5 linked regions of the Oryctolagus cuniculus genome follow. The protein of the gene in region 4 binds, or shares a complex with, the protein of the main gene of each other region. Links are inferred from orthologs where the notes say so. Each region holds a gene or a part of one and is shown on either strand. Other genes may lie near its edges. The genes, in order: CREBBP, NFKBIB, NRIP1, PPARG and MED1.

Region 1 (5,047 bases), on a different chromosome or scaffold from region 4:
TACAGCGGAGCAGCAGGGACCAACACTTGGATACATATTACACACAAGGAAGAAAACACAGAAATTTTCATAATGCTTGTGGTAGAGCCTGACAGAGACTCAGGTTCCGAGCCAGTGTGCTGAGGCGGGTATGGCTGAATCTTTACTACCTGCAAACTCAAAAGCTACAACTTCTCTCTCCCCCTGGGCGTGTGCCAGGCAGGGCCAGAAACACAGCGCAAAGCTGCAGCCTTGTCACAGAGCCCCCAGGCAGAGGGAAGGCGGCGCAGGGAGGCGCTGGGCCCCGCCTGCCTCCTCCTGCACGCTGCCAAGGCAGCTCGGCCCAGCATCTCTCTAAGGGGTTCACGTCACAACCGTCGCATTCTTTAAGACCCTTTCATCAAGTCCCTCTAACCTTTTCAAGTCTGCGAAAACAATGCGGTAGATCTAGAGCATACAAGCAAAGCCAACGAAGTCAGACCACAGACCACACACTAAGGATCCCACTTACACAGAAAAGACAAAGGCACAGAGACGGGAAGTGGATGAGGGGTTGGGGCAGAGGCGAGAGAGACCAATGGCACAGCGTGTGGAATCCGCACGGCCATGGAAACGCTCCAACACCAACGTGTGCTGATGGCTCCACCACGTGGCAACGCCTCCGAACACCCGCTGAGGCACACACCTGTGACAGGCGAGTTCTGGGTGTGGAGTTACGCCCCAGTGAAGTGCAGGAGAAGGAAAAGCAGGCAAAGGCAGAGGAAGAGCACGCGCCCTGGGAACACCTGGCCCCACACTCGCTCCCGACCTGACCTCGGGGTGCGAGAAACAACACAGCCAACATAAACCGTGCAATTATGACTTCACAACACACACACACCGAGAAATGCAGAGAGCTCTGACTAGCTCTGAACAGTTTAGTCCAAACTTACCCCAATTTCTTCACATATTCTAGATATCCAATAAGGATCTCGTGGTAAACGGCTGTCCGGAGGCAACGGGGCCGGAAGAAGTGAATACTGTCCAGGTAGGATATGTACACACGCCTGCGGGAGTGGGGTGGGTCCATTTTTAACTCAAGGTACCCCTCAAACTGGAAACCAAACAGCAGTATCCAAGAAATCTGCAGAAACAGGCTCTGCCGAAGCCGCCGGCAGCGCCCCTGCCCACTGCCATTCTTGCCTCAGCAGGAGGGAACTCCCGGCAGAGGCGCCTCTCATGAGTGCGGACACCTGCTTAGGTGAGACGGAGGCGGCGGGGAGGCCAGGGCCCCGGACCGGGGACACGCACACTCGCCACAGTCGTCTAGTCCCTTCATTTTCCATGAGTTCTCAGGTAAACAAAACTAAGCTTGGCTAACGGCGGCTTAACCTAACTTCCCAGAACCAAAGCACACAGTTCCCCTAAGACACTTACTAAGGGAAGAGCTGGGATTACCTTGTGTTTGGAGGCGGGCAATCGGAGCCATATTCTTGGACATGCATTCCAAAGAAGCACACATCCACTCCATCAATTTCCTCAAAAGCAAAGAGCGCTTTGGTTCGATATGGGAAGGACTCGGACATCTCCCCAGAGTCCACAAACCTGGAAGAAAAGCCAGCGCTTAACGTCCTGCTTCCACAGCCTCTGCTCCGCACCTGCCTCACGTCTTGGGGCAACACGGCCGTGCCTCCCCGCAAGCCGCAACCATGTCTTCCCAGCCTCACGCAGGCACGGCACCCCCGCACGGGCCCGCATTCTGGGAGACGTGCTGGGCTGCCAGGAGGGCCCTGCACGCGCGGGCCCTGGCTGCGGCCGGAGAGCACAGCACACACACCGAGACTTCATCCCAGGCTTGACTTCCACGGTCTTGTCCGAGCTGGCCACCACTCTGACGAAAACCTCCCCGGCTTCAGGGTGGTTTTGGCGCCGCAGGAATTTGTTCACTCGGTCTTCCAGGTGGTTTCCCAGGCGTGTGGTCTGCAGTCCTAGGAAGTCCGAAGGAGCAGGTGAGAGGCTTAGGCAAAGGCCAGTGAGACCACAGCACCACCTTTCTCCTGGCACAGTCTTACATCTGTCTTACTGGAGACCTTATTTATCTGCTTATTTGAAAGGCAGAGTGACAGAGCAGGGGAGACAGAGAGACACCGTCTATCCGCCGGCTCCCTCCTCAAGCATCTGTAACATCCAGCCTGAGGACAGACCAGAGCTGGGACCCAGAGACCCGAGCTGCTGTCCACTGCCTTCCCGGGCCAACGGGCAGAAAGCGGCTCGGACCGGCATGCTGACGTGGGCTGCGGGTGTCCCCAGAGGAGGCTTCACTCGCTGTGAAACAACTCCCGTCCCACGGCCGACGTTGTAAAGGAGCGAAGCTCTCCAAACACAGGAGGGGTCCTGTCTTCCTCAGGTGGACTCAGGGAGCTCAGGCACTCGACAGCCAGAAAACCAACAACACTCCCAGACATTTCCATCTTTTTCTAATAGTGAGGGGCAGAAGAACTAGAGGTAGAGGTAGCCCTAGGTCTGGCAGGAGCTGTGGGGTGGAAGCCAGGCCCAAGGAGGGGCCGGGCTGTGTCCTTCTACCCCAGGCCCCAGGCCCTTCCCGCCACCAGCACCCCGCAGCAGGACACCTAGAGCAATCAGACTGGCTGGTGCTTCCCCAGAGGATGGGCACTACACCCTCAGGGAAGGCGGGTTTCTGGTGAGTGACCAGCTCTGCAGACTAGAACATTCCAGGAACCACCCACAAAGCATCAGCCGAAGATGGCCTGCTGCTTCAGGGACTCTCCAGTCATGTGGAGGACAGGAACTGCACAGGCATGTGAGTCTGGCCCTATGCCCACCGTCTCCAAGCGAGTGTGCACCCTGACAGGGTGGCCGTTCTTAGGCCGCTCCCCCTCACGAGGCCAGCCCCCAAGGAAGAAACAAGGGTCAACACTCGGTGTGGCACAGAGCACGCCTCACAGATGCCTGCAAAGGAAAGTGGCACAAGGCTCACCGGGACGCCGGTCTTCTTCATCGACTCTCTAGTATTTCCCAATCAGAGACATTTAAACAACGACCTGGCATTTCACAAGACTCCTTACTGGGGTGAACCTGGGGGGCCGGCGCTGTGGAGTAGTGGGCTGAGCCTGGGCCTGCAGCACTGGCGTCCCACAATGGGCATGGGCTCATGTCCTGGCTGCGCCCTTCTGATCCAGCTCCCTGCTGATGCACCGGGAAAGCAGCCTACGTGCTGGGCCCCTGCACCCGATGGGAGACCCAGAAGAGGCTCCTGGCTCCCGGCTTCAGATCAGCGCAGCTCCGGCCGTTGCGGCCAACTGGAGAGTGAACCATTGGATGGAAGACCTCTCTCTCTCTGTGTAACTCTTTCAAATAAATATATAAATTCTGGTTAACAGCAGAGTTTGAACTTGCGTTAAGCCCTGCTCTGGGGCAGCAAGCACAGCACGGTGTGGACGCCCACGTTCTGCACTGGGCTCCAGTTCCTGACTGCAGCTTCCTGTTTGTGCAGACCCTCCAAGGGGTCTTCCCCTTCTTGCAACCAAGACAGAAAGATCTGGATGAAAATCCTGGCTCTCAGCTCTGGACACCTGCCACTGTGTGCAGGCAATGAGTGAGTGAACCAGCAAGACAAGACCTCATGTAAGTAAATAAATTCAAAAATTAACTTAAAACAGACTGATCATAAAAGCTGACTTTCATATAAAGATCAAGCCACATGACTATTTATGGGTAAGACAAGAAAAATAGCAAGTATTGGGGCTGGCGCTGTGGCGCAGTGGGTTAATGCCCTGGCCTGAAGCACTGGCATCCCATATGGGTGCCGGTTCGAGACCCAGATGCTCCACTTGATACAGCTCTCTGCTATGGCCTGGAAAAGCAGTGGAAGATGGCCCAAGTCCTTGGGCCCCTGCACCTGCATGGGAGACCCAGAAGAAGCTCCTGGCTCCTGGCTTCGGATTGGTACAGCTTCAGCCGTTGCAGCCAATTGGGGAGTGAACCATCGGGTGGAAGACCTCTCTCTCTCTCTCTGCCTCTCCTCTCTGTGTACCTCTGACTTTCAAATCAATCAATCAATAAAAATAAAAATATCAAGTATTAAAAAATAGATTAAAACCTTAGATAACTGAGCTGTAAAAGTACTCATCGACTGAGAGGCACCCAAGGAGACCAGGACAATGTGCCCAAGTTCTAAAGAGGACCGTTCAGGAAACAAAAGTCTCCCACAGACTTACTCTTAGCACTGAATTTGTTTTCTTTTCGAGGTCTGCCAGTTTTCTTCAAGCAGTTGTCGCATACAAAGCTGGGGAAAAAAAAGGTGTGATCAGATTCCATCCACCAGCATGTGCTGCCAAACCAGCAAAACACAGCATCACAACCCTTTGTTGGCATCTGCATCACATCATTATAAAAAAAGTGAAGAGGCAGACAGCTTTGATTCTCCCATTCCTAAAGCGGGCAAACACTTAAGACTTCAAGTTAGAACTAACCGCCAGCTCCTATGATTGCTGCAGTCTGACAACAAGGAAGAGACCGCCACTGTCACCCCGACCCCGCAAGGCCGAGCTGCTCACCGGTTCCAAGACCACAGGAAATGACTTACCCCGAAGGCCAAATGATGTCATAATGCAGCACACAAATCTGATGCATCTTCCGTCCACACTCTTTGCAATCAACAAAACTAGGAGACAAAAAGCCCAAAGTTACGCACTCAGAAACACAAATGAAACCAGCCGCAGGCGCCTGAGTGTGCGCACACCTTGTTCTCAGGGCCACCAGGAGCGCCTCTGAGGCTGACACAGGCGAGGCTGACCTCCCACCTCTCCTCCAGAGAACAAGCGCCTCACTCCTCTTGCTCCCAACCTCCCTTTGCAACCAGAAACGCAACCTTATCTTTTCACAAACTACCAAGATGATTCAAAGACTTTCGTGGAAATTGGCATTCAGTGGTAATGCAAATACTCTGTGAACTTGGACCCTGGTCAGAGACGTGGGCATCCCCGAGTGGCGTTTCATGCGCTGTGCTCAATGTTCACTGCTCTGTGAACTTCTCAAAGTCTCCTTACACCGTAAATTAAGGCCACTA
Region 2 (5,653 bases), on a different chromosome or scaffold from region 4:
ACAAAATACACCTTGTTTAGTGAAAACCGAACAGGCTTTCAGATATGCCAAAGCTGAGGGAATTCATCGCCGGCAGAGCCACACCACGGGAAAGGTTACAGAGGGAAGGACACTGACCCAGCGGCTGAGACGCCAGCGGAGGCGCCTGCGTCTGGAGCTCTGGCTCCTGATTCCAGCTTCCTGCTAACGCGCCGGGGCCCGCAGGGGCGGCACAAGCACGTGGGGTCTGGCACACACGCGGGAGACCCAGCTCCGGCTTCAGCTGGGCTTCTGGGGAGTGCGGGGACGCGAATCTCTGTCTCTCTCTCTGTCTCTGTCTCTGTCTGTCTCTCTCTATCTATTTATCTATCTATCTATCTATCTATATCTATATATATCTTTAAAATAAATAAAATGTTTCAAAGTATTTGTTTAGGCAAAAACAATAACAAAGCTCACCTGGACTTCATAACTTGTACATAAACTGTATGACAGCAATAATACTAAGGCCAGGAGGGGACAAATGAAATCTATTATTTGTTATATCACTCTTTTTTTAAAAAAAGATATTTTATTTGTTTTAAAGGCAGAGTTACAAAGGAGGCAGAGAGAGACAGAGAGAGATCTTCCACGGGTAGATTCACTCTCTAAATAGTTGCACATGGCTGGGGCTGGGCCAGGCTGAAGCCAGGAACCTGGAACTTCTTCCAGGTTTCCCATGTGGGTACAGGGGCCTAAGCACTTGGGCCATCCTCCACTGCCTTCCCAGGCCACAGCAGAGAGCTGGATGGGAAGTGGAGCAGCCGGACTTGAATCAGTGCCCATATGGGATGCTGGTGCTGCAGGTGGCAGCTTAACCCACTGTGCCACAGCACCAGCCCCCAGATGTATCATTCTAAGGTTCTTTTACTCTGTGTAAAGTGCATGATATCACAAAGTTGTCAGTATGAGCCCTAAGGCAGGAGTCAGCAAATGTTTTCTGTACTGGGACAGAGCACTGCTTTAGGCTTTGTGGGTCACATGGTCTCCCTTCTACCCACTCAGCTCTGCTACTGCAAATAGCCATGGACGACGATATGCAAATAAAAGAGCACTCCAATTTATTATTGGGGCCCAAAATATGAATTTCATAAAATTTCCACTTACCAAGCAGTATTATTCTGCTGATTATTTTTTAAAAATTAAAAAAATATAAAGACCATTCTTAACTCAAAACCAGGTGGCAGGCTCCATTGCCAACTGCTGTCTTAAAGTGACCACTAAAATAACAAAACAGGGGCCAGTGCTGTGGCGCAGGGGGTTAAGCGGCCGCTGTGACGCCAGCATCCCACACCAGAGCCCCAGTTCTAGTCCTGGTCGTTCCGCTATTGATCCGGTTTCCTGCTAATGCACCTGGGAAGGCTGCAGAGGACGGCCCAAGTGCTTGGGCCTCTGCCACCCACGCGGGAGACCCAGAGGGAGTTGAAGGCTCCTGGCTTCGGCCTGACCCTGCCCCAGCCGTTGTGGCCATGTGGGGAATGAACCAGAGGTTGGAAGATCTCTCTCTCTCTCTCTCTCTCTCTCTCTCTCTCACTCTTTCAAATAAAGGAGTATTTTAAAATCAGGCAGAGTAGATTTCAGAGCCAGGAATATTGCCACAGATAGTGAAGGTAATATCAAAACGCTAAGGAGATCAATGAATCGAGTAACAGTATTTCATAATCCTAAATATCTGTGCCCTGATAACAGAGCCTCAAACTAGATTAAGCAAAACCTGACAGAATTAGAGAGAGAAACAGACAAACCCAGAGTTACAGCTGGAGCTCTCAGACTTTCCCTTTCAACCACTGACAGACAAGTGAAAAACCATCACCAAGGACAAAGCAGCCTGGAGCTCTGTGGGCCAACACAGCCTCCAACTGATATGCAGAGGACGCTACATTAACCACAGGGTACAGAGTATTTTAAGTGTGTGTACACCATTCTGAGCCGTAAAACAAGTCTCAAAAAACTTAAAAGAATTTAAAACGTACAAAGTATGTTTTCTGCCCACAATGGAATTGAAAATTGGCAGCAGAAAAATACCTGGAAATATTAAACTATCTGGAAACCAAATAGCAGACTTTTAAATCTACTGGTCAAAGAAGAATTCAAAAGAGAAAATTATAAGGAATACTGAATTAAGTGAAAATCAAGATACAACATATCAGAATTGTGAGACAAGGCTAAAGCAGCTTTCAGGGGAAAATTCATAGTACTCAATAACCTACATTAAAACAGGAGCAAGCTCTCAAATCAATGACATGAACTTTCATCCTAAGAAATCACAAAAAGACAGGGCCAGCATTATGGCCGCGGCGAGGACACCACTGGGACACCCATCCCATACGGGCTCTGGTTCCGTGTCCGGCTGCTCCACTTCCAACCCAGCTCCTTGCTCATAGCTTGGGAAAAGCGGCAGAAGGTGGCCCAAGTGTGTGGGCCCTGCCGCCCGCTAAGGAGACCCAGAAGAGGCTCCTGGCTCCAGGTTTCGGCCTGGCCCAGCCATGGCCATTTAATCTCTCTGGGGGAAGAGAACCAGTGGATGAAAGATCTCTCCCCTCCCTCTCTCTCTAACTCTGCCTTTCGAAATAAATAAATAAATATTTTAAAAAATTTAAAAAAGAACAAAATAAATTACAAAAAGAATAAATTAAACCCAAGATTCAGAAGAAAGAAGATAAAAGTCAGGTTAGGGGCTAATGAAATAGAAAGTGAAAAGAGGGAGAAAAGTAGCGAAACCCTCGCTGGTTCTTGGAGAAGACGTGGGTCAGGCGCTATTTTGAGCCTCTGGGGACCCAGCAATCAACGGGCAAAAAAAACCCCACAAAACCCAGAGAAGGTGCCCAGCTGGTCCTTTACAGTCTTGTCCCTGGGAGGTTCTTCCCTCCTACCCTCCCACCCAGAGAAGGCTCCGCCCCTGGTGACCGCGACCCCCGGCCCCCACGCCACACCAAAGCTTCTGTTTCCTTCACTGTCCATGGCTCAGACAGGACCCGGGTCAGGTGCAAGGCCACCTCAGCTCTCCCGTGGCTCACGGGCTGTCTCGGAATTGAAGCCGGGAAGATCAGAGCCCAGGAGCAGGCTCTTAGAGGCGGGGGCCGAGGGTCCCCCGAAGCAAAGTCAGCAGCTCAGATCAGAGATGCTATGGGGGGGTGGGGAGCCACAGCCTGAGCCCCAACTCTACTAAGGACTGGGGGTCAGAAGGTCAAATCGGGTTTTGGGATCAGTGGGTTAGGAGGATGTAGGTTCGGGGGGGGGGGCATGAAAATCAAGGTTCAGGGAAAGTAGGTCGGCAATGATCGAATCGGGCTCAAAGCTGATCGGAAACTGGGTTTTGTTACAAATTAGGATGGGGGGGGTGTGAAGTCAGGAAGTCCCGCAACGGAAGTCAGATTCAGGAGTGACAGGTTGGGAAACCACAGACACTCAGAAACGAATGGAGAATCAGGCCTCGGATCCGAGGGCTTCGTTTAACAGCCTAAGGTTCACTCACGTGTCGCCATCCTCAGTGACGTAGCCGAAGACGAGCGGAGCCCACGATAGCCCTGGGCCCAGCTCTGCGCCCAGCCCCGGGCCTCCTGGGGCTGCCGCGTCCGGCCCCAGAGAGCCCAGGCCGCTGTCGCACCATTCATCCGCGTCCGCACCTTTTCCCAAGCACGCAACCCCAGCCATGGCCCCCAGCCACCTCAGGGCCCCCCGCGGCTCCCCGCCTGCCGCTGGGCTCTGCCCGGAGCTCCGGCACTTCCGCCCTGCGGGAAATTCCCCAACACGCCCCCTGGTAAATCCAATTAGAGTGGGCGAAATCGGTCACGCCCCGCCCCCTTGGTGCAGGGTGGCCAATCAGAGCACTGGGATGCACGACGGCTCTCGGGCAATACCCACATTTTCCGAGCGCCCTTTACTAACATGGCTGCCACCGCCAGGCCGTCTGGGACTCGTAGTTCCGCCTTCGGGCGCGCACGGGGCGTTTGCGGGAAAGCCCTGTATGCGGCCGAGATGGGTGCTGGGAGTCGTAGTTCTATGCCCGAAGCCTTCCCCTTCTGTTTCCGGTGCCGTCACGGGACAGAGCAGTCGGTGACAGCCCCGAGGGCCCCCGCCCCGAGCCCATGGCCGAGCCGGATCGTGAGTCGGGGGCCCCGGTGGAAGGGTCGGGCCGCGCCGGGGCCTGGCCGAGGGCTGCAGGCCCCGGGGCCCGAGGGCGGGCGCGGGGGGCTGGGAGCGCAGGGCTACACTGAGGGAGCGGGGTTCCGAGGCTTGTAGTTAGGTTGATCCACACTCGCGGGGTGGCGGGTCTCTGGGTCGCGAGGTTTTAAGGGTCCGTTTACCTCGTCCGTGTTCCAAGTTACTAATGATCGTGTGTTTCTCACACTTTGGTTGCTGAGGACCCTCGTTACTGAGGACAAAAGTTGCCGCGGTCTCGGTTGCTAAGAGCACCTGGTTGTCAGGGGCAACCGTAGGATGCTAGGGGTGCCCGGGTGTCCCGTCCCGTCTCTCCCCTGCAGTTCCTGTGCCATCACCTCCACCGCTCCTCCTCTCCCAAACCCGCCTCCAGCCCGAGCCCCGCTTCCTGTCTAAACCTTCCTCTGCCTTGGGAGCCTCCTCTCCCTCCCCGCACACTCACACACTGCTCTGCCCTGTCTAACTCTTCCTAAGCTTCCTCCAGCCTCTCTTCCCAACCCTGCCCCGCCACAGCCACTCTGCCCCTACTCACCACCTCTCCCGCCAGCCCCCTCCCCTGCCTCCCTCCGCTCAGCTTTTGCCACTCCACCGCCCCATGACCCTGGGTCTTCTTGCCGCCCCTGCCCCCGCTCCCACCGCGGCCACTTTTAACCCTTCATTCCCTCTTAACCATTCCCCCCACTGTAACCACGTCTGCTCCCCCTCCTCCCCCAGCCTCTGACCCTCTGGAGACCCAGGCAGGGAAGGTGCAAGAGGCTCAGGTGAGATGGGGAAATGGTGGAGGGGAGGAGGAAGCTGGACTCGTTCCCACATCCCACTCTGGGGGGAGGTGGCAGAGGGGAGACATTTCCCCCGGGGCCCCTCGCCCCGCCTTGCAGGGGTGCAGCCTCTTGGGGAATGGGGGGTGTTGGGGACCTCCGAGAAAAACGTACAGCCTCAGCCCCAGGCCTGCCTTCCTAAACTTTCCTCTCTCTTTGCTGCTGCCCACCCCCCTTCCCATTCCTTCTGAACCTCGTTTGTGTTGGCCCTGGAAGAGCCAGGGATCCCCTCTGGTCCCTGAGCTCCCCAGAGCGAGCGTGGTGGGTCATGGAGCACCCCAGCCAGGCCTTTCCCTCGGAGAATCCCCAGGCTGGCCCAGGAGTGAGACTGAGATGTAGACGCAGCATAGTGAGTGAAGAGTGACTTAGAACATAGATGAGGTGAGGAGGTGTTCCATGGGACGGCTGCAGCTGTGCGGAGACCGGGGCGCGACCGTGCGATGCAGGCTGGGGGCGGCCGGCTCACAGCAGCCTCGGTTAGCGTGTTCACCGGCTGCTTAGCCAGCCAGGCGCTCTGCGTAGTGCAACATCTCATTTTGTCTGCCCAGCACCCGCATGAGCGGTAAGACCTATCGTGGCCATCATACAGATGAGGGATTTGAGGCAGCGCTCCTAAGTGACCTGTGCTCTGTCCCTTCGCTGGAGGAAACCCATGG
Region 3 (5,847 bases), on a different chromosome or scaffold from region 4:
ACACAAAAATTTTAACAAAATTTTCCAGTGAATTTCAAGACATCTGTTGAAATCATAACAATTCAATCAAACTGGGAAAAAAAAAAAAAACAGTAAAGAACATTCCACAGACAAAAGTTATGACATATAACAATAAAAATTCCATTTAGTGAAAAAGTTGATATATTCGGAGGCTTAAGCTAAATTGGTTTACAGTTAATTTACCTAATTCTATCCAAGTTATTCATTGCTTTTGTATCATCAGTTTCGTCAAAATTAGCTAATAAATGTTACACACTGATATGAGCAAACATACAGAGTATATGGAGTCAAATAAAATAAAATAAAATAAAACATGAATTTGTTAGTTAATACCTACAATGACTTCCATTTCTTTCAAAAGGGGAAGCTAACAAGTAAGCAAGGGAAATCTGGTCTGAAACACTAAAAAGCTTTATAAACACTTCATGTTTTATGTGGTTTCAAAGTATAAGTAATCAAATTCATTTTTCCAATACTTTCTTTGGACTTTCATTCAAAAGGACATTACTGTACTTAAAAGTATAACAAGACTTTTTAGAATATGGATGTGTAACAAACTACAGTAAAGCATGTTAGTCGAGAATCTCCAACTGTCAACTAGTAGTCTCCTGAGATACATACCAGAGATCTCCCTCTTGGAGACATAATCCACTGGCTAATGGAAGGGTACTGAAAAAAATTCATATACTTTGACCCAACATATTCCAACTAACTGATCATGAGCTCCTCATTTCAAAGGAAGAACGACCTTAGACAACAGAAACTTGGCATAATTCCTTTTAAAATCTTAAATCGTTTTTGAATATATGTAAAGAATTTAGAAAATCTCCACTAATAATACAGTGTTATGTTTTCAAAGTTTTTCACTGTACCTTCTAAATAACTTTTGTTAATCTGAAAGAAAAATCTTTGATCATGTCTAAGAATAACTCATTTACATATTTACTCATATGCCATGAGTGATTGTTGCTTACCATTCTGATTACTCAGTAGAACAAGGATGCTGAAAAATTAAGAACAACAAACTATATCACGGGGCAAGGGGCAGAAGTGTTAACAGGAGTATGCCTGGTTATAATGTTCTTTTTTATAAAACTTTAGGGGGCCAGTGCACATCTCCACTGCAGTGCCGGCATCCCATATGGGTGCAGGTTCGAGTCCCAGCTGCTCCACTTCCCACCCAGCTCTCTGCTGTGGCCTGGGAAAGCAGTGGAGAATGGTCCAAATTCTTGAGCCCCTGCACCCATGTTGGGGATCCAGAGGAGGCTCTTGGCTCCTGGCTTCAGATTGGCATAGCTTTGGCTGTTGCAGCCATCTGGGGAGTAAGCCAGCAGATGGAAGACCTCTCTTTCTCTGCCTCTGCCTCTCTGTAGCTCTGCCTTTCAGATAAATGAATGAATCTTTAAAAAAAAATTAAAAGTTGATAAACAGGGTTCAATATCAACTATATTTTTCCAAATATAAAAGATTTTAAAAAATCAACTTATTGCTTAAATTTTCCATGAACTTAAAAAAAAGTTTATTTATTTTCATCATTTGAAAGAGGACCAGAGAATAAGAGCAAGAGAGAGAGAAAAAAGAAACAAAGAGAAACACACACACGGAGAATAATCTTCCATCCACTTCTTTACTCCCTAAACACCCCTGTCAGAGCTGGAAAAGGAATTCCATCCAGGTCTTCCAAGTGGGTAATATGGGCCCATTATCTGCAGCTTCCAAAGAAGCATTAGCAGGAAGCCAGATCAGAAACAGAAACATAGGTGCAGGGACTTGAACCGGCACTACACTATGCAATGTGGCATCGCAAGAAGTAACTTAATCTGCTGGGTCCCAAACACCGACCCCATGAAAGCAAATATAAGATTATCAATCATTTCTTAACACATAATTACAGCTGAATAAAAGAAATTTTAGTATTTCTAAATAAAAGTCTAGTGTATTTACAATTCTAACTTAGAGGTAAAAATATGTGAATAGTTGTAAAAAAAAAATGCAGAGCAACCAAAGAATTAACAACAATTTTATACAATTGTTTTTGACAAGTAATGTTTTAGAGATTTTTCTTGGTGAAATTACAAGAAAAGCCAAAGCAGTTAAGTGGAATGATTAAAATAACCCCATCGCTAAGTTTTCTTAACATAACCAAAATAGTGCAGAAAAAGGATTAGGTACTATCACTGTGACAACCATATTATGCCTGCAGGTAAAGTGCAAATTTGGCTGAGTTCCCAAGCCCGTTTTGAAACATCCTAGTGAATTAGAACACCCAGAATTTCAGGATGCTCCACCTGCTCTCTCTTCTGATCAGAGTTTTCAGGTAAATACCTGAAAGAGGTATTAATCACAGTTAATTATGAGAAGAATAACCATTCACTGTGCCTTTTTGCAGTTACCTGTGCCTTTACCTAGTTCACCTGGTTTGCTTCTGCTCAGAAACAAGCATGACAAACATGACGTGACAAATTCACTTAGGTTGCAGAAAGACTAGAAAACAGGAGTGTTAATCCAAGTAGAATTAACCACTCACTCTGCTCTCTCCTTGCACTGCGCACCTAGTGGTGTTGATTTGAACCAATTATTGTATCACTTCTCAGATGCTAGTATAGTCTTTGCCTTGGAAGAGTAACCATTTCACATAATTCCAGAAGTAATCACTGACCTATACCATAACAAACTCATAACAACCAAACATCCTTCCACATTTCCTCAAGATACTATATAATTAATTTTTATCTGAAATGATTGCTACTTCACATTTTGTATTAACTATCCAATTTCTCTGATTTCTGGTAAAAGTAAGTACCACCCACACAAATATAATCTCTTCTTTTAAGCTTCCCAATCTCTTCAACCAGAAGTAATCTACACATTTAACTCTTAAGAATATCTGCTGTGTTTTTCTTAAGGAAATTTTAATCTTTTACTGTTTGACTACATTTATTTATCTACATTTATCCTTTCCCTGTAAGTTCCTTAAAGTAGGACTGTATCTTATTTTTTAACCAATAGTCCAATGAAATAATCTGCATTGATAAAAGCACATAATACACATTTGATGATTATAATTTATAATTATATAAGAATTTATAATTCTATAACATAGAATTTTCAGAAATATATCAAAATCACAATGATTAAGCCTGAAGAAATAAAAAAAATATTCTCACCGTCACTCCAAGGTTTAAGCCTCTGCTTTCTGTGAAAGGAAACTGAGAAGGCTGTTGAAAAGTAGCTCTGATGTCATCTGGAGTCTTCAGATTCCCCAGTCCTGCGTTAGTCAAGTATGCATCTTAAGAAAAGGAAAAAGATAGTTTGGCAACTATTCCAAGCCAGATTCTAGAATACCTTTTCTAAGTTCGGTAAATGTATTCAAGAATCTTTTCTTGTTCAAGTTTAATGCAAAAGTTAAGTCATTTGACAGGGAAATACAAAGCTTTTATGAATACTGTTTTGTTAAAGGAAAGCAACAGATTTTTGTGTTCCAGATAATACAATTACTTAACTGATAAAAAGTAGATGCTTCAACAAAGTAAACTACAAAAAAGGCTTAGGGTTGCTAGGATGTACTTAATAACCTTTGTAAATTTTTTCATCTTAATAGTGTTCTGTCAGATTAATTCAATCAATTTACAACCAAAAAGTCTAAATTTTCCTGAAGGTATATTTCCAATAAAGAAAAAAAGGAAGGAAAAATAAAAGCTATAATTTCTCTCTTACAAACATTCTCAGTTGTAGATTCCATCTGCATAAAATTCTAGAAAATGAAAATTAATCAATAGTGAAAGAAAACAAATCAGTGGGGTAGCTGGGGATGGAGAATTTAAAAGGGAAGGACTATATATAGATGTTATCTTTTAGTTAATTGTCTGAGAGGCTGAAAAAGAGATGGAGAGAGAGACAGAGAGATCTCATCTCTTGGCCCACTACCCAAACGCCTGCAATGGTAAGGACTGAGCTGGGCTAAAGACTCAAGCTGGAAACTCAATTCAAGTCTTCTGCATGGATGACAGGACCTCAATTACTTCAGCCATTACCGCTGCTTCCCAGTATCTGCAGCAGCAGGAAGCTGGAGTCCGGAATCGGAGCAGGGTTTGAACCCAGGTACCCTGATACACAATGTGGGCATCTTAACTGCTAGGTTTAACAGCTAGCCCTGGATGTTGGCTTAAATGCAGTAATAGTTTCACAGATGTACATATATGTCAAAATATATCAAAGTATACATCTTAAATATGTGCAGTTTATTACTTATCAACTGAAATTCAATGAAGTTGTAAAAAAAAAAAGTCAAATGCCCATCAATGTTATTTGATGTCATAGTTGCCCAAGATTTCTCCTACTCAAAAATAAATAAATAAATAACCTATGAAGGATTTATACAAATATTTGACCATAAGGATATTCATATTATTGCTAACAGAAAAATTTATAAATATCATTCAATGTCAAAATAAAATAATTAAAACTAATTAAATAAATTATGATATATTATGGCCATTAAAATATTATCTAACAAAATTAAGCTATATGGAATGATGTATTAAATGTCAAATAAAAACAAGAGACATGTTCAACATAATTAAATTTTTGTTTTAAAATTATACAAAAACACATTTTTTGCATTTAGACAGCTAAGTTTGTTGTTGATTTCTATTTTTTAGTCTCTCTACAATGAATATATTACTACTTTACTAACAGACAAAATAAATTAGAGGATGAAAACAGCAAAATGTAAAACTATCCACTCCCTAGAGCAAGTATAAAACAAATACTTAATCCTAAGAGGCAGTACACATTACAGAGGTAGTTCTGGCTGTCATGCTACCCTCACCAGCGACCTAACAAACAGAAAGAGGCAGATCTGACAGATGAATGGGAACAAGCATTATGTAAGCTACATGCTTTACCAGTTTATAAAGCACTTTCACGGACATGACCTTATTTGATCTTCATTACTCAGTGAAATGAGCAGAAGGCATTCTCCCATTTTACAGAGGAGAAACAGACACTAAGCAGGGCTGGCTAAGTGACAGGCCTCAAATTACAGACCTTGGACTCAAATCAAGCTTTGCCTATAAATTCTATCAGCAATATAAGAGGGACATGTGGGGCAGGGGAATAACTTTTCTGATTACCTATACTAGAAGGAAATGATTAATATCTGCTTTAAAACAACCAGATTTGCAATTGTATTAGTACTCCTATTAGAATTTGCCGAGGAACTTGGTAATTTTCTAAATCCCATTTTCCAACCTCAGAAACTATAACTGTTAAGCCCATATTGCCCCTTGTCATTTTTGACTAAACCAATGAAATTTTTGCATATAACTGAACTGTTTTAATTTTCAGTTATATTTCTTTCTTTAAAGTTGAAACAAGAAAGTAACTGTATTTTTGAATGGTGAATATCATAAATAGTGACCTATAAATTGATGTCAAAGGATCTAACTTAATGGAGGTTTAAAATACAATTCCCAACTTGACTCTCACTGGGATTAAACATGACAATAGGTCTAATCTGATTTCATCATCATTTTAAAAAATCATCTATTATTTTTCACTTTATGTTTCTGTGTGGGAGCAAACTGTTGAAATCCATACTTAATGTATACTAAGCTGATCTTCTGTATATTAAGATAATCGAAAATGAATCTTGATGTGAATGGAAGGGGAGAGGGAGTGGGAAAGGGGAGGGTTGTGGGTGGGAGGGACGGTATGGGGGGAAAGCCATTGTAATCCATAAGTCGTACTTTGGAAATTTATATGCATTAAATAAAAGTAAAAAAAAAAAAAAAATAAAATAAAATAAAATACTACCTTTCAAGT
Region 4 (5,512 bases):
AGTCGGTGTACGTGAGACTGCTTCATGGCGTGGTGGTTCTGCCTTTGGGCTCCATTCACCAACCGGGGAGAACTGTACTTTCCGATCCAGGGCCTGAACGACCTTTTCACTCATTGACTCAGCCACCCGAGTGCCTCTTGTGTTTCTGCTAACGAACGGTTCACAGACATCAGGGCGGCCTACAGGGGAAGATAAAGCAAGTCAGTGCTTAGAATCCAAGTGAAGAAAAGTTAAGAGGAGAGCCTTTGGAATCAGACGCACTCCACGCAAACCTCAGCTCTCCCGAGACTAGCAGGTGGCAGATCTCGGCACGATTTAACTCCTTTCCCTGAAGTCTTCATTCCCCCTTCAGAAAGTACCACCTCACGGAGTTATCATGAGGATTAACTGGCATGTTGTGTGCACGGCCCTTGGCGGTCTTTGGAGAATAATAGCCTTTCAGTAAATGCAGTCGGGTACGGTCGTGCTTGAGTCATTTACAGGGTGCTGTGGGAGCACACGGCAAGGACAGTAGAAGAACAGAGGACGTGGGGGGCTCGTGCCGAGGAAGGGTCCAGGCCAGAAACCCAGCAGAGGCTGCTTTCTGAAGAAGGGGTTGGCATCTCTAAGGCAACAGTGAGAAGGGCGGGTTTCGGGCAGAAGGAACAGGACCTGATTAGGCACACCGTCCTGACAGAGCCCAGGATGTCGGAGGAGCTTGGTATGGCTGGAGCAAAGGGATAGTTAGAGAAACTGAGGCTATAGCAAGAGCAGGAGCGGCCTCCGAAAGCTGGAAGAGGGCATGTAGCAAGGACAGCCAAGCGGTTGTGGAGTGAACGGCCGTCAAGAGCTAAGCTCTGGCCAGCACCTTGGCTCACTAGGCTAATCCTCCACCTGCGGCGCCGGCACACTGGGTTCTAGTCCCAGTTGGGGTGCCGGATTCTGTCCCGGTTGCCCCTCTTCCAGGCCAGCTCTCTGCTGTGGCCCGGGAGTGCAGTGGAGGATGGCCCAGGTCCTTGGGCCCTGCACCCCATGAGAGACCAGGAGAAGCACCTAGCTCTTGGCTTCGGATCGGCCGGCCGTAGCAGCCATTTGGGGGGTGAACCAATGGCAAAGGAAGACCTTTCTCTGTCTCTCTCTCTCACTGTCCACTCTGCCTGGGGGGGGGGGGGGGGGAGCTAAGCTTGAAACCAGCACGAAACACCAGTGTCCCAAAGGTTGCTCATGACCCCTGCCTGCTGGTGAGCCTTCAGGAGCAAACCTTGAATTCTAACGCTGTGCAATAGAAATGAAACTTGAAAAACAAGAACCAAAACCCACACTTTCTACTTGGAGATTCAAGAACTTAATTTTAGGTAAGTGTAAGACAGGCTGTTTAGCAAAGACCCACGAGAGCCCTGTGGGTCGCAGCCCCTTAGAGGAAAATTAGAGCTCACACACACCAATCAGGAAGCGATTAGTACCAACACAGAATGGACTAAGCCGTGAACTCCAGGAACTAGAAAAAGAGAAAAGAATGAACTTAAAGGTTTTAAAGAAGGAATTTGATCAACTGAAACTAAAATATAATTTTCAAAAGCAGTTGATAAAACCAAAAGCTGTTTTCTTCAAGAAAAAAAAAATAGATAAACCTTTGACAAATCAAATATTTTAATGAGGCCGGCACCACGGCTCACTAGGCTAATCCTCCGCCTTGCAGCGCTGACACACCGGGTTCTAGTCCCGGTCGGGGTGCTGGATTCTGTCCCGGTTGCCCCTCTTCCAGGCCAGCTCTCTGCTGTGGCCCGGGAAGGCAGTGGAGGATGGCCCAAGTGCTTGGGCCCTGCACCCCATGGGAGACCAGGAGAAGCACCTGGCTCCTGTCATCAGATCAGCGGGGTGCGCCGGCTGCAGCGGCCATTGGGGGGTGAACCAACAGCAAAGGAAGACCTTTCTCTCTGTCTCTCTCACTGTCCACTCTGCCTGTCCAAAAAAAATATATTTTAATGAGCGAATACACAGATAAAGAGCATTAAATTAAGGGAGCATAGTGAAAGCAATCAGAGAGCTCCAATTCTAAGAGGAAGTCATGTACCGCTTTCTTCCAATATAAAATACTAAATTTTTTACTTTGTAAGTAGGAAACCTGAATAGATAAAAAGCTGTGGAAGGAAAAGCAAAGGCAGCTGAAGCTTTATCACAGGCTCAGGTGGTTCTGCAAATGGATTCCAGGAAATCCGCGCAGAAACAGAAGGAGGTCTCACCCCAGTGTGCAAGGCGAGTTAACATTTATTTCCAAAACAGGCAGAGAATGGCACAAAAAATAACACTCTGGGCAATATCACCTGCAAATATGAAAGCTCTAAATAAAATATTAGCAATTGAGTGCAAGAATATAAGGAAATCTAACGTAACACTGCACCAGACTAAGATAAAACCATATCTCTTTAGATAGCATATATCTGTAGATAGAAAAATTTTAAAGCATTTGATAAAATTCAACAACATTCCTGACTAAACAAATTAAAAACTTGAAAATTCTTGGAAAGCCCGGAGTAAAACATACCCAGCATAATCTATAGCAAACATCATACTTGATGGGAAACCCTTAGAAACATTTTCTTCGAAGTCAGAAATAAAACAAGAATGCCCCTGATTATTGCTGCTATTTAATACCACATCAGAGGTCTTAGCCAACAGTATAAAAAAGGAAACGCAACGTGCAAACACTGGAAAATAAAAAACAAATAAATCTACCAGTGTTTATAGGTGTGACTGTCTAATCAAAAAGGAATCCATGATTAAAAATTACTTGCACTGACAAAAGTTCAGAAAATTAGAATAAATTCAATATAGTAAAATCAATAAGGTTTCTAGACGTCAGCAAGAATATATTAGAAAAAGAATGAAAATGAAGAGACCGTTCACGATAGGAGCTATAACATATTTAAGGATAAATCTAACTAGATGCGCAGGAAGAAAAACATTACCAAAGGTGCGAAATTAATGTAAGCTGCTTTCTGCAAATTGAAATGGGAGGCAGAAGAAGATGCAGTCGCACCTCTCCCGAGAAAGCTCTGTGAAAATGCTGGGGGTCTGTCCCCGCAGACTCTAACGGTGTTTGAGAACCGTGCTGTCACGCTGAGACGGCCCTGTGCTGTATTGACCAGGAGGAGGACGAGGCGCTCTGTTTGGAAGTGGGTCTGAAGCTTGGCGGGGGGCAGGAAGGAGCAGGTGGTGGAAGCGGGAGGCTCAGCCTGGGCGCGGGGTGACTTTGAGGCCGTGTTGCCGCCACCAGCCGCAGAGACGGAGCCCGGGACGGCCAGCGGTCTGGGTTTCGATCCCGCCCAGCGTCGGCCTGCCTCCCCGCACCTGTCCCCGGGGGCTGCCCCCGGGGGCTGCGCAGGCTCCGAGGTGGGCCCAGAGGGTGTCCTGACTGACCCTGCTGCTGTGTTTTCCGTTTCTGCTCCCCCAGACCGCCCAGGCCTGCTGAATGTGAAGCCCATCGAGGACATCCAGGACAACCTGCTGCAGGCCCTGGAGCTGCAGCTCAAGCTGAACCACCCCGAGGCCTCGCAGCTGTTCGCCAAGCTGCTGCAGAAGATGACGGACCTCAGGCAGATCGTCACGGAGCACGTGCAGCTCCTGCAAGTGATAAAGAAGACGGAGACGGACATGAGCCTGCACCCCCTCCTGCAGGAGATCTACAAGGACCTGTACTAGCCCGGCCCTCCTGAGCCACCGACGCCGTGTCCTTCTTCCAATTGCACTATTATTTTGAGGGAAATTCTGACACCTACAAAATTTTACTGTGAAAAAGCATTTAAAAAGAAAAGGTTTTAGAATATGATCTATTTTATGCATATTGTTTATAGATATACATTTACAATTTACTTTTAATATTAAAAATTACCATGTTATGTAATTTGCTGGTAGTATTTGAAGACCGAGTGTGATGTGTTGCCCCACCCCAGCCCCTTGGACTCCCCCCCACCCACATCTTTTATTTCCGTTCTTCATTCTGTAGTCATCTTCTTCCACGTGAATGGAGCTGTTGATAAACTTTAACCCTCAGTAAATTAATTTTTTACTGAATTTACAACTTTCCTGAACTCTACATCTGCTTTCACAATTTTAACTCAGGAAGGGGGACTTGAGAACCGAAAAGCACTCGCAGCGTGTGATGCTCAGCCTGGCAGCTTGCCCCTAGGTTGACCTAACCACGACTGTCACCGCGAGCAGCCTGGTGCTACCCCTAGGTTGACCTAACCACGACTGTCACCGCGAGCAGCCTGGTGCACACAGTCGCCTCTCCATGCCTGTGGGAGAATGGCTCCGTCTCACACACTGTGGATCCCAGGCCACAAGAAGCTCACGTCGGTAAAGGGCTGTGCTGCCTTCATGGATCCTGTGCACACCCTCCCCTGCGCTTGGTGCTGTGGTTTTATACTAAGGACTTGCATGCACAGCGCACGTAGTTGCCGTGTGTACTGGCAGGGCATGACACCAGGAGGAAACGTCTGAACGCGGTCAGTACAGGTGCAGTCTTCTCAGATATGTTCAGTCCGCAGATGCAGAACCCACAGAGGAGGAAGGTCAGGTGTACTGCCCACGGCTCAGATACCAGCACACACACCCCCAAACCGCTGAACTGAACGCTGGGCGCTGCTGGAAGCTCTGGGAAACACAGCTTTAAGATTTGACACCTGACAAAAACAATTACAAAACTGAGGCCAAAAGATGAGCTTTGTGAATACAGAATGCAATACACAGTAGTGGTTATGTGCCAGACGAGCGATTCAGGCTGCAAGCTGGGAGGGAGAGTCCCATGGAAATGCAGGGTGAGGGGACTGGGACAGGGGAGAATCCCTATGCAGGGTAAGCGATGCGTTGTAACAAAGCTGCAGGAACAGCAGCCGTAGCGAAAGGGGCAAAAAGAAAGGAAAGCGAGCGACTTCCTGGTTCCCAGCCACCCTCGCTGGGGCCGCTTACCCTGAGATCTCTTAACTTCTGAACGCAGGCTGATCACCCCCATCGTTTGTATAATCCCTGCCTCCGCAGCAAGTCGAGTGTGAGTTTCCCTGCAGGCAAGGGCCGCCTTGGCACAACTAACAGACTGGTTGATAAAACCACCAGTTCCACTGGCCTTGGCGCCCCATGACCTCACTATGCTGTTTTTAAGAATGCCCGGCGACCATCATGGCGCCTGTGTTCTCCAAGGCAGGTGTCCCCACAGAGCTGGAAGATTTCCCAGCCATCCCTGCCGTGGTTTCTCGCCTACGGTGCTTACACCTCGCAGAACGTGACCTTGGATCTGAGACTTTCACATCAAAGTATCAAAACAAATCTTTTCATCTTGGACTTCAACATACCAAGCGTGTGGTTCAGCGATGAAGACGGCGCTTGGGATGCCTGTATCCCACGTCAGAAGGCTGGGTTCCGGTTCCAGCCTCCTGTGAACGCACGCCCTGGGTGGCAGCAGATAACGGCTCAGAGAGTTGGGTCCCCCTCCTGTGAGAGGATTGTCTCAGCTTTGTCCTGGCCCAGCCCTGGC
Region 5 (5,629 bases), on a different chromosome or scaffold from region 4:
CTGGTTCTTGCCTGGCCCAGAGCAGCTGTTGTCACTTTGGCTTTCAAATAAATAAAATAATAAAAAAAAAGATTTGGTTAAAGTTTGAAATGATGCAACACAGGACCTCAAATCAGGGATCAGAAAGTCTTGCCTTTCTTGCCTAAAGGGAAAAAACTTTACTTAATTATTTGAGAGGCAGACAGAGAGAGCTCCCATCTGCTGGTTCACTCCCCAAATGCATGAAATGGCTTGGGCAAAGCCAGTAGCCAGGAATTCAATCAGGGTGGTGGTAGGGACCCAAGTACTTGAGCTATTATCTGCTGCCTCCCAGGGTGTGCATTAGCAGGAAACTGGATTATAAGTAGAGCCAGGACTCAAAACCAGGTACTCTGATATGATATGTGTGCATCCCTGGGCATCTCTTAACCACTGCACCGAACACCTGCCTGGAAAATATGCTGTTAATCCCAACTCAAGTGGAGCACTGTTAGTCTGCTTTCAAGGAACCAAGTACTCTGACGTTAGGATGCAAATGCCCACTTTGGAACAAACATTTAACTTAGATTTGAATGAGAGCTGAAAGGGTTGGATAAAGGGGAGGCTTCCCAGCAGTTAGAAAGGCCTGTAGAAGGACCTTGGGAGGAATGCAGGAATTCTCCTCCAAATGAGGGAAAGTCAGTATGCTGGGGATTGGGACAGGCAGAAAAGCTGGATCTAGACAGGCTTGGTAAGCCAGTAAGATTGGCTACCAGGCCTAGGTACAGTGCTAGGGAGTGATGATTCAGTAACACGGGGCCATTTCTGCCCCTACGAAATTCACTATGTATAATATGACTCCAAAGAATGACGATAAGAGGAAAAAAACAATAAAAGTGTAATCCTATTTTCAAGGGAATGTTATAATTACCTTTGTGGCAGTAAAGAAACAAGTTGCCAGGTTATTTTTTTTTTTTTTTATCAAATTTATACTGCTGTGCCTACTCAGTTGAATTGCAGTTATTTGCTGAGATGGCTCTGGATATGTGAATGCTATTTTTTAAATGTGGAAAAAATCTGAGACTACAGTCAGTAGAAATTCATTGCTTAAGCAGAAGATGGCCCAAGTCCTTGGGCCCCTGCACCCGTGGAGGGGGGGGGAGGGCAGCAGGGGGACTTGGAAGAAGCTTCAGGTTCCTGCTTTGGATTGGCTAGGTCCAGCAGTTGTGGACATTTGGGGAGTGAACCAGCAGATGGGAGACCTCTCTCTCTGCTTCTGTAACTCTACCTTTCAAATAAATAAATCTTAAAAATAAAAAAGAAATTCATTGCTTAATATTCTTGCAGAAAACTAGGTAAGATCCTACTTTCCAGCCGCATTTTTGAAGGATGTATATGAGAAAATTCTTTTTAAAAGTAGCCTTTAAGCTCCAGTGGCCATGCACTTGCCAGCATTGCTATGGATTTCTCTTCATGAGGATTTATTGACACAAGAGAGAAGACTACACACTGTGATCTGCAGTGGAGATACAAGCTAAACTGCATGTTTCCACCAAGACACAGTGATAACATGCACTTGCTGCTGAGAACAAGTTTATTTTAATCCAAAGCACTTCAGATTTTCAAAACTGCTGCAACTGCTCAAGAAATATTCCTGAAACTTAAAAAATATTAGAAAATGGTAATTAAGTGTCCTAGGCAGCCTTCAAATGTCGTGTTACAAAGAGCCAGTGTTTTTATGACAGTTTTACTGCATCTAGCATATAAGGGAAACTCTACTGTATTTGATAAAACATTTCAGATACCAGTATTCTTTGAAAATCTAGCCTGTAAAAAAAAAGGGGTTCTGTGGGTTTAGTTTCCAAACTAACGGCTAAAATGAAAATGCAAGTTTTCGTACAACAACCGAACTCTACCTGCTCGCAAGTTCAGAACGAAGTACCCAAGAGCTAAGAGACAGCCGGATTTGGAAGAAATCTCGCGGAAGTACGTCATTCACCTCTCGCGAGACTTCAGTATCCCGTCGCTTCCTTTCTCGCGCAGGATCACGGTTTATCTCGCGAGCTTTAGGAAGTTCCGTTGGGGAAGATGGCGGCGGCCGCAGGCACCCTTCTCTTCTTGCCACCGGGGACTTCAGACTGAGCCTTCCCGGGAAGAGTAGGGACTGTTGGTGCCCTGCGTCCCGGGAGCCCGAACTAACGTGGCTCTCCCATTAGTGGAAGGAACGGGCTTCTCCTCTTGTGGCGGACCCAGGCCCTGCCCGTCGTCAGGATGAAGGCTCAGGGGGAAACCGAGGGTGAGTGACAGTGGGGGAAAGGAGGGGGCGGGACTCAACTGGGGGCAGCCAATCTGGGCGAGGAGGTGGGGGCCGATGCCCCGTGGGGGCCGCTTTCGCGGGGGCACTGAGTCCAGGATGCGGGATGTGTGTGTCTTAGATGCTCATCATGCCTTCCTTGATGGTGATAGAGCGCTGACTTAGGGTGGTGGGGGCTCCCAACTTGGGTGAAGATTTCCTTTTTATATAGAGACAGTACCTGGGGCTTCTGGGCACTTTTAGCCTAAAGTGGTGGAAGATCAGGCGAGTGAATATATTAGCTGTTTGCAACTCATTCCGGAAGAGACCATTGAATAATGGCCTAAAAACAGCCATACGGAACCGTGTATCTAAAAGTACTGGAGAGTATTTTGATGTGAATGATGTGATTTGGTCCTGAGGATACAAAATGCCTGCACTTCCTAAAAGTCACAGTGTTCCCATCGGTGGCCGGACTGATTTAGAACTGTTGAAAACGACTTTTTCTATGGAAATTTTTACTCCGATTCTCTGGAGTTCCACACTGCACTTTCAATCACAGCTTACTTTATTATCATTGTTCATCCTTCCAGTTTGTTCTGAGCTTTGTAGATCAGGGGGCTGCCCTATTCATTTTTTTTTTTTTTAAAGATGTATTTATTTGAAAGGCAGAGTTACAGAGAGAGAAAAATCTTCTACCTGCTGGTTCACTCCCCAAATGACCGCAATAGTTGGAGCTGGGCTAGGCCGAAGCCAGGAGCCTCCCCAGCGTCTCCCATATGCGTGCAGGGGGCCACTCTCTGAGGCCATCCTCCGCAGCTGTCCCAGGTGCACCATCAGGGAGCTGGATTGGAAGCGGAGCAGCTGGGCCTTGAACCTTTGCCCATATGAGTTGTCAGCATCCCAGGTGGTGACTTCACCCGCGATACTACAACACCGGCTCCCTTATTCATCTCTGTATAATCTCTGGCACATAGTAGTTGCTCAGAAAATGTTTGATTTGAGTTTCAGACTAAGGACGTTTTACAGAATGCTTCTCAAGAAAAAAAAGGGGTGTGATTTGAAGGAGAAGAAATGTGTGTCCCTTGGGTGTAAAGTGGAAACACCATCAGGCAGGAGTTTTGTATGGTTTGCTTACTACTGTGTCTGCAGCACATACAATTGTGCTTGAATGAATGGCTTGATAGTGGGAAATAGGAATGTGCCCAGAGCAATCAGCTGGCTGAAGCAGCCTACAAACCAGTTTTCCAGAAGATGAAGGCGTGAAGGAAGGAGTCTGAGTCTTGACTGAGATCATCTTGCTGCCTTAACTCTGACCTTCTATTTATTTTTCAGTGCCAGTGTCAACAGTCTGTTTTTTTTTTTTAATGTCTCCATATTGATTATGTACTTTTCCTTCTTTGCTATTCAGTAGTAATGTCTCTGCTTTTAAGAGCATTTCTTTTTGCACCAATGGTAATTCCCATGTTAACTTGATCACACTGCCTCACAGATGTCACCTCAGGCATATCTTGTTATTATTATTATTATTATTATTATTATTTTTAACAGGCAGAGTGGACAGAGAGAGAGAGGTCTTCCTTTTGCCGTTGGCTCACCCTGCAATGGCCGCCGCAGCTGGCACGCTGCGGCCGGCGCATTGCGCTGATCCGAAGCCAGGAGCCAGGTGCTTTACCTGGTCTCCCATGCGGGTGTAGGGCTCAAGGACTTGGGCCATCCTCCAATGCACTCCCGGGCCACAGCAGAGAGCTGGCCTGGAAGAGGGGCAACCGGGACAGAATCCGGCGCCCCAACCGGGACTAGAACCCGGTGTGCTGGCGCCGCAAGGCGGAGGATTAGCCTATTGAGCCATGGCGCCGGCCCTCCTCAGGCATATCTTGTGTTCCTTTCCAGTGGCCCCAGCACAGGTCTTCGCTCATACATGGCAGTTCAAGAACTAGGGGAGGCTCGAAGGGTTTAAGAGGTTCATTCATATTCTTAGTTCAGGAGCTGATCCTTTCTGCCTTTCTCTTAACCTCTGTTGGAAATTCATCTTTTGGTTATTGATTTCTTCCCTGTCCATATAATTTTAGCTATATGGAAAAATATGAAACATCAGATAGGCAATTAGGGTCTGTTTTCTTGATCATACTTATCAACCAATCTCTTAAAATTATGGCCAAAAATTAAGGAAGTATTTTCACATTGAAAATCAGCTAACCATTGTAAGACCATGTTCAAATGTATGCTCTCTATAAATATTATACAGAAATTTCAGGCATGTTATGAAAATGACTGTCACTAAGTTGTAGGCATGGTCGTGAATCATGATTAGACTCGGTTCCTTTTTGGGTTCCCATTAAAACCTTGAATGGAATGTCCTATGGTGTTCCTTTTATCAGACCCATAAGGTATGTGTCTTCTCACCTTTAAAAATATTTTCTTTATGTGGTTTGAAGAAATTATATCGAAAAGTAGTTTAGCCAATTCTTAGATTCGGCTGTGTGGGGGTTTCTTTTCCAAGAAAAACGAGGTCTTGATAAAGGAGTTTCTAATGATGTTTTCTGATTTATGTCGTAGAGTCGGAAAAGCTGAGTAAGATGAGTTCTCTCTTGGAACGGCTTCATGCAAAATTTAACCAAAATAGACCTTGGAGTGAAACCATTAAGCTTGTGCGGCAAGTCATGGTGAGGATTGTGGCAAGTGGGTAAAGTGTTATACTTAGATAATAAGTAAGCTCCCTGTGTCCAAATTAGCTACAATAGTGTCTTCAGATTTATTTATCATAAAACACTGGAATATATTGGAGCTTTTCAGGGACCTACCTAGGAAGGAGCTATCCATTCATCCTGGTTATCTAAGGGGGATTGTTCCAAGATCCCCCGTGGACATCAAAATCCCCATTTGCTCAAGTTCCTGTTATGAAATGGCATGGCATTTGCATATAACCTATGCACATACTCCTATATACTAGAAATCATCTCTAGATTACTTATAATAAAAATGGAATGTTATGTAAATAGTTATTACATTGTGTTGTTTAGGGAATGATGACAAGAAAAAAAGTGTTTGCTATAAAAGAAGTTGTTTTTTTTTTCTGACTCTTTAATCTTCATTTGGTTGATTGTGCAGATGTGGGATTTGCAGATACCAAGGGCTGACTGTATTTATAAAACTATATTTATTGTGAGTTTTGGTACCCAGTGGGTACTTATAGCAAAGGTGCCAAGAAATATGCCTGTTAGGGACGCATTTGGCAGACTGGTATTAGAAGACATTCTTCGCTTCCTTTTAAGCTCCTTGATTGTAATGTGTTATTTTCATTGTATCTGTAGAGTAAGCACTACTAGTAGATTTGTAATCACTTTAAAAAATATTTTTATTTTATTTGAAAGGCAG

The links.
Region 1: the proteins of PPARG (region 4) and CREBBP are in contact, whole or in part, in a crystal structure (PDB 7RLE), measured with the Homo sapiens proteins. The link is inferred for Oryctolagus cuniculus from reciprocal best matches to the Homo sapiens genes PPARG and CREBBP. Residues at the interface, in NP_056953.2 of Homo sapiens: Val321, Gln322, Thr325, Glu326, Lys329, Phe334, Val335, Leu339, Asn340, Gln342, Val343, Thr344, Leu346, Lys347, Leu496, Glu499, Ile500, Lys502; in NP_004371.2 of Homo sapiens: Asp62, Ala63, Ala64, Lys66, His67, Lys68, Gln69, Leu70, Ser71, Leu73, Leu74, Arg75.
Region 2: the proteins of PPARG (region 4) and NFKBIB are in contact, whole or in part, in a crystal structure (PDB 9CK0), measured with the Homo sapiens proteins. The link is inferred for Oryctolagus cuniculus from reciprocal best matches to the Homo sapiens genes PPARG and NFKBIB. Residues at the interface, in NP_056953.2 of Homo sapiens: Gln322, Thr325, Lys329, Phe334, Leu339, Gln342, Val343, Leu346, Lys347, Leu496, Glu499, Ile500; in NP_002494.2 of Homo sapiens: Asn286, Pro287, Ile288, Leu289, Ala290, Leu292, Leu293, Arg294, Ala295.
Region 3: the proteins of PPARG (region 4) and NRIP1 are in contact, whole or in part, in a crystal structure (PDB 9CWN), measured with the Homo sapiens proteins. The link is inferred for Oryctolagus cuniculus from reciprocal best matches to the Homo sapiens genes PPARG and NRIP1. Residues at the interface, in NP_056953.2 of Homo sapiens: Val321, Gln322, Thr325, Lys329, Phe334, Leu339, Gln342, Val343, Leu346, Lys347, Pro495, Leu496, Glu499, Ile500, Lys502; in NP_001426204.1 of Homo sapiens: Ser130, Thr131, Leu132, Leu133, Ala134, Leu136, Leu137, Ser139.
Region 5: the proteins of PPARG (region 4) and MED1 are in contact, whole or in part, in a crystal structure (PDB 6ONJ), measured with the Homo sapiens proteins. The link is inferred for Oryctolagus cuniculus from reciprocal best matches to the Homo sapiens genes PPARG and MED1. Residues at the interface, in NP_056953.2 of Homo sapiens: Val321, Gln322, Thr325, Glu326, Lys329, Phe334, Leu339, Asn340, Asp341, Gln342, Val343, Thr344, Leu346, Lys347, Gly427, Leu429, His494, Pro495, Leu496, Glu499, Ile500, Lys502; in NP_004765.2 of Homo sapiens: Asn638, Thr639, Asn641, His642, Pro643, Met644, Leu645, Met646, Leu648, Leu649, Lys650, Asp651.

What each region holds. Positions count from the first base shown.
Region 1 is NC_091450.1:31,788,979-31,794,025, reverse strand, and holds part of CREBBP (CREB-binding protein), read right to left. Parts: intron 4,643-5,047; coding exon 4,565-4,642; intron 4,265-4,564; coding exon 4,197-4,264; intron 1,947-4,196; coding exon 1,796-1,946; intron 1,564-1,795; coding exon 1,417-1,563; intron 1,026-1,416; coding exon 912-1,025; intron 1-911. UniProt on the Homo sapiens protein: Acetylates histones, giving a specific tag for transcriptional activation. Mediates acetylation of histone H3 at 'Lys-18' and 'Lys-27' (H3K18ac and H3K27ac, respectively).
Region 2 is NC_091449.1:15,861,048-15,866,700, forward strand, and holds the start of NFKBIB (NF-kappa-B inhibitor beta), read right to left. Parts: upstream 3,760-5,653; 5' UTR 3,673-3,759; coding exon 3,494-3,672; intron 1-3,493. Other genes in the region: SIRT2 (NAD-dependent protein deacetylase sirtuin-2), read left to right, coding at 3,907-4,122. UniProt on the Homo sapiens protein: Inhibits NF-kappa-B by complexing with and trapping it in the cytoplasm.
Region 3 is NC_091435.1:32,123,334-32,129,180, reverse strand, and holds the start of NRIP1 (nuclear receptor-interacting protein 1), read right to left. Parts: upstream 3,311-5,847; 5' UTR 3,189-3,310; exon of another isoform or gene 1-3,188. UniProt on the Homo sapiens protein: Modulates transcriptional activation by steroid receptors such as NR3C1, NR3C2 and ESR1. Also modulates transcriptional repression by nuclear hormone receptors.
Region 4 is NC_091441.1:114,812,695-114,818,206, reverse strand, and holds the end of PPARG (peroxisome proliferator-activated receptor gamma), read left to right. Parts: intron 1-3,433; coding exon 3,434-3,681; 3' UTR 3,682-4,053; downstream 4,054-5,512. UniProt on the Homo sapiens protein: Nuclear receptor that binds peroxisome proliferators such as hypolipidemic drugs and fatty acids.
Region 5 is NC_091448.1:22,905,226-22,910,854, forward strand, and holds the start of MED1 (mediator of RNA polymerase II transcription subunit 1), read left to right. Parts: upstream 1-2,007; 5' UTR 2,008-2,229; coding exon 2,230-2,254; intron 2,255-4,810; coding exon 4,811-4,917; intron 4,918-5,629. UniProt on the Homo sapiens protein: Component of the Mediator complex, a coactivator involved in the regulated transcription of nearly all RNA polymerase II-dependent genes.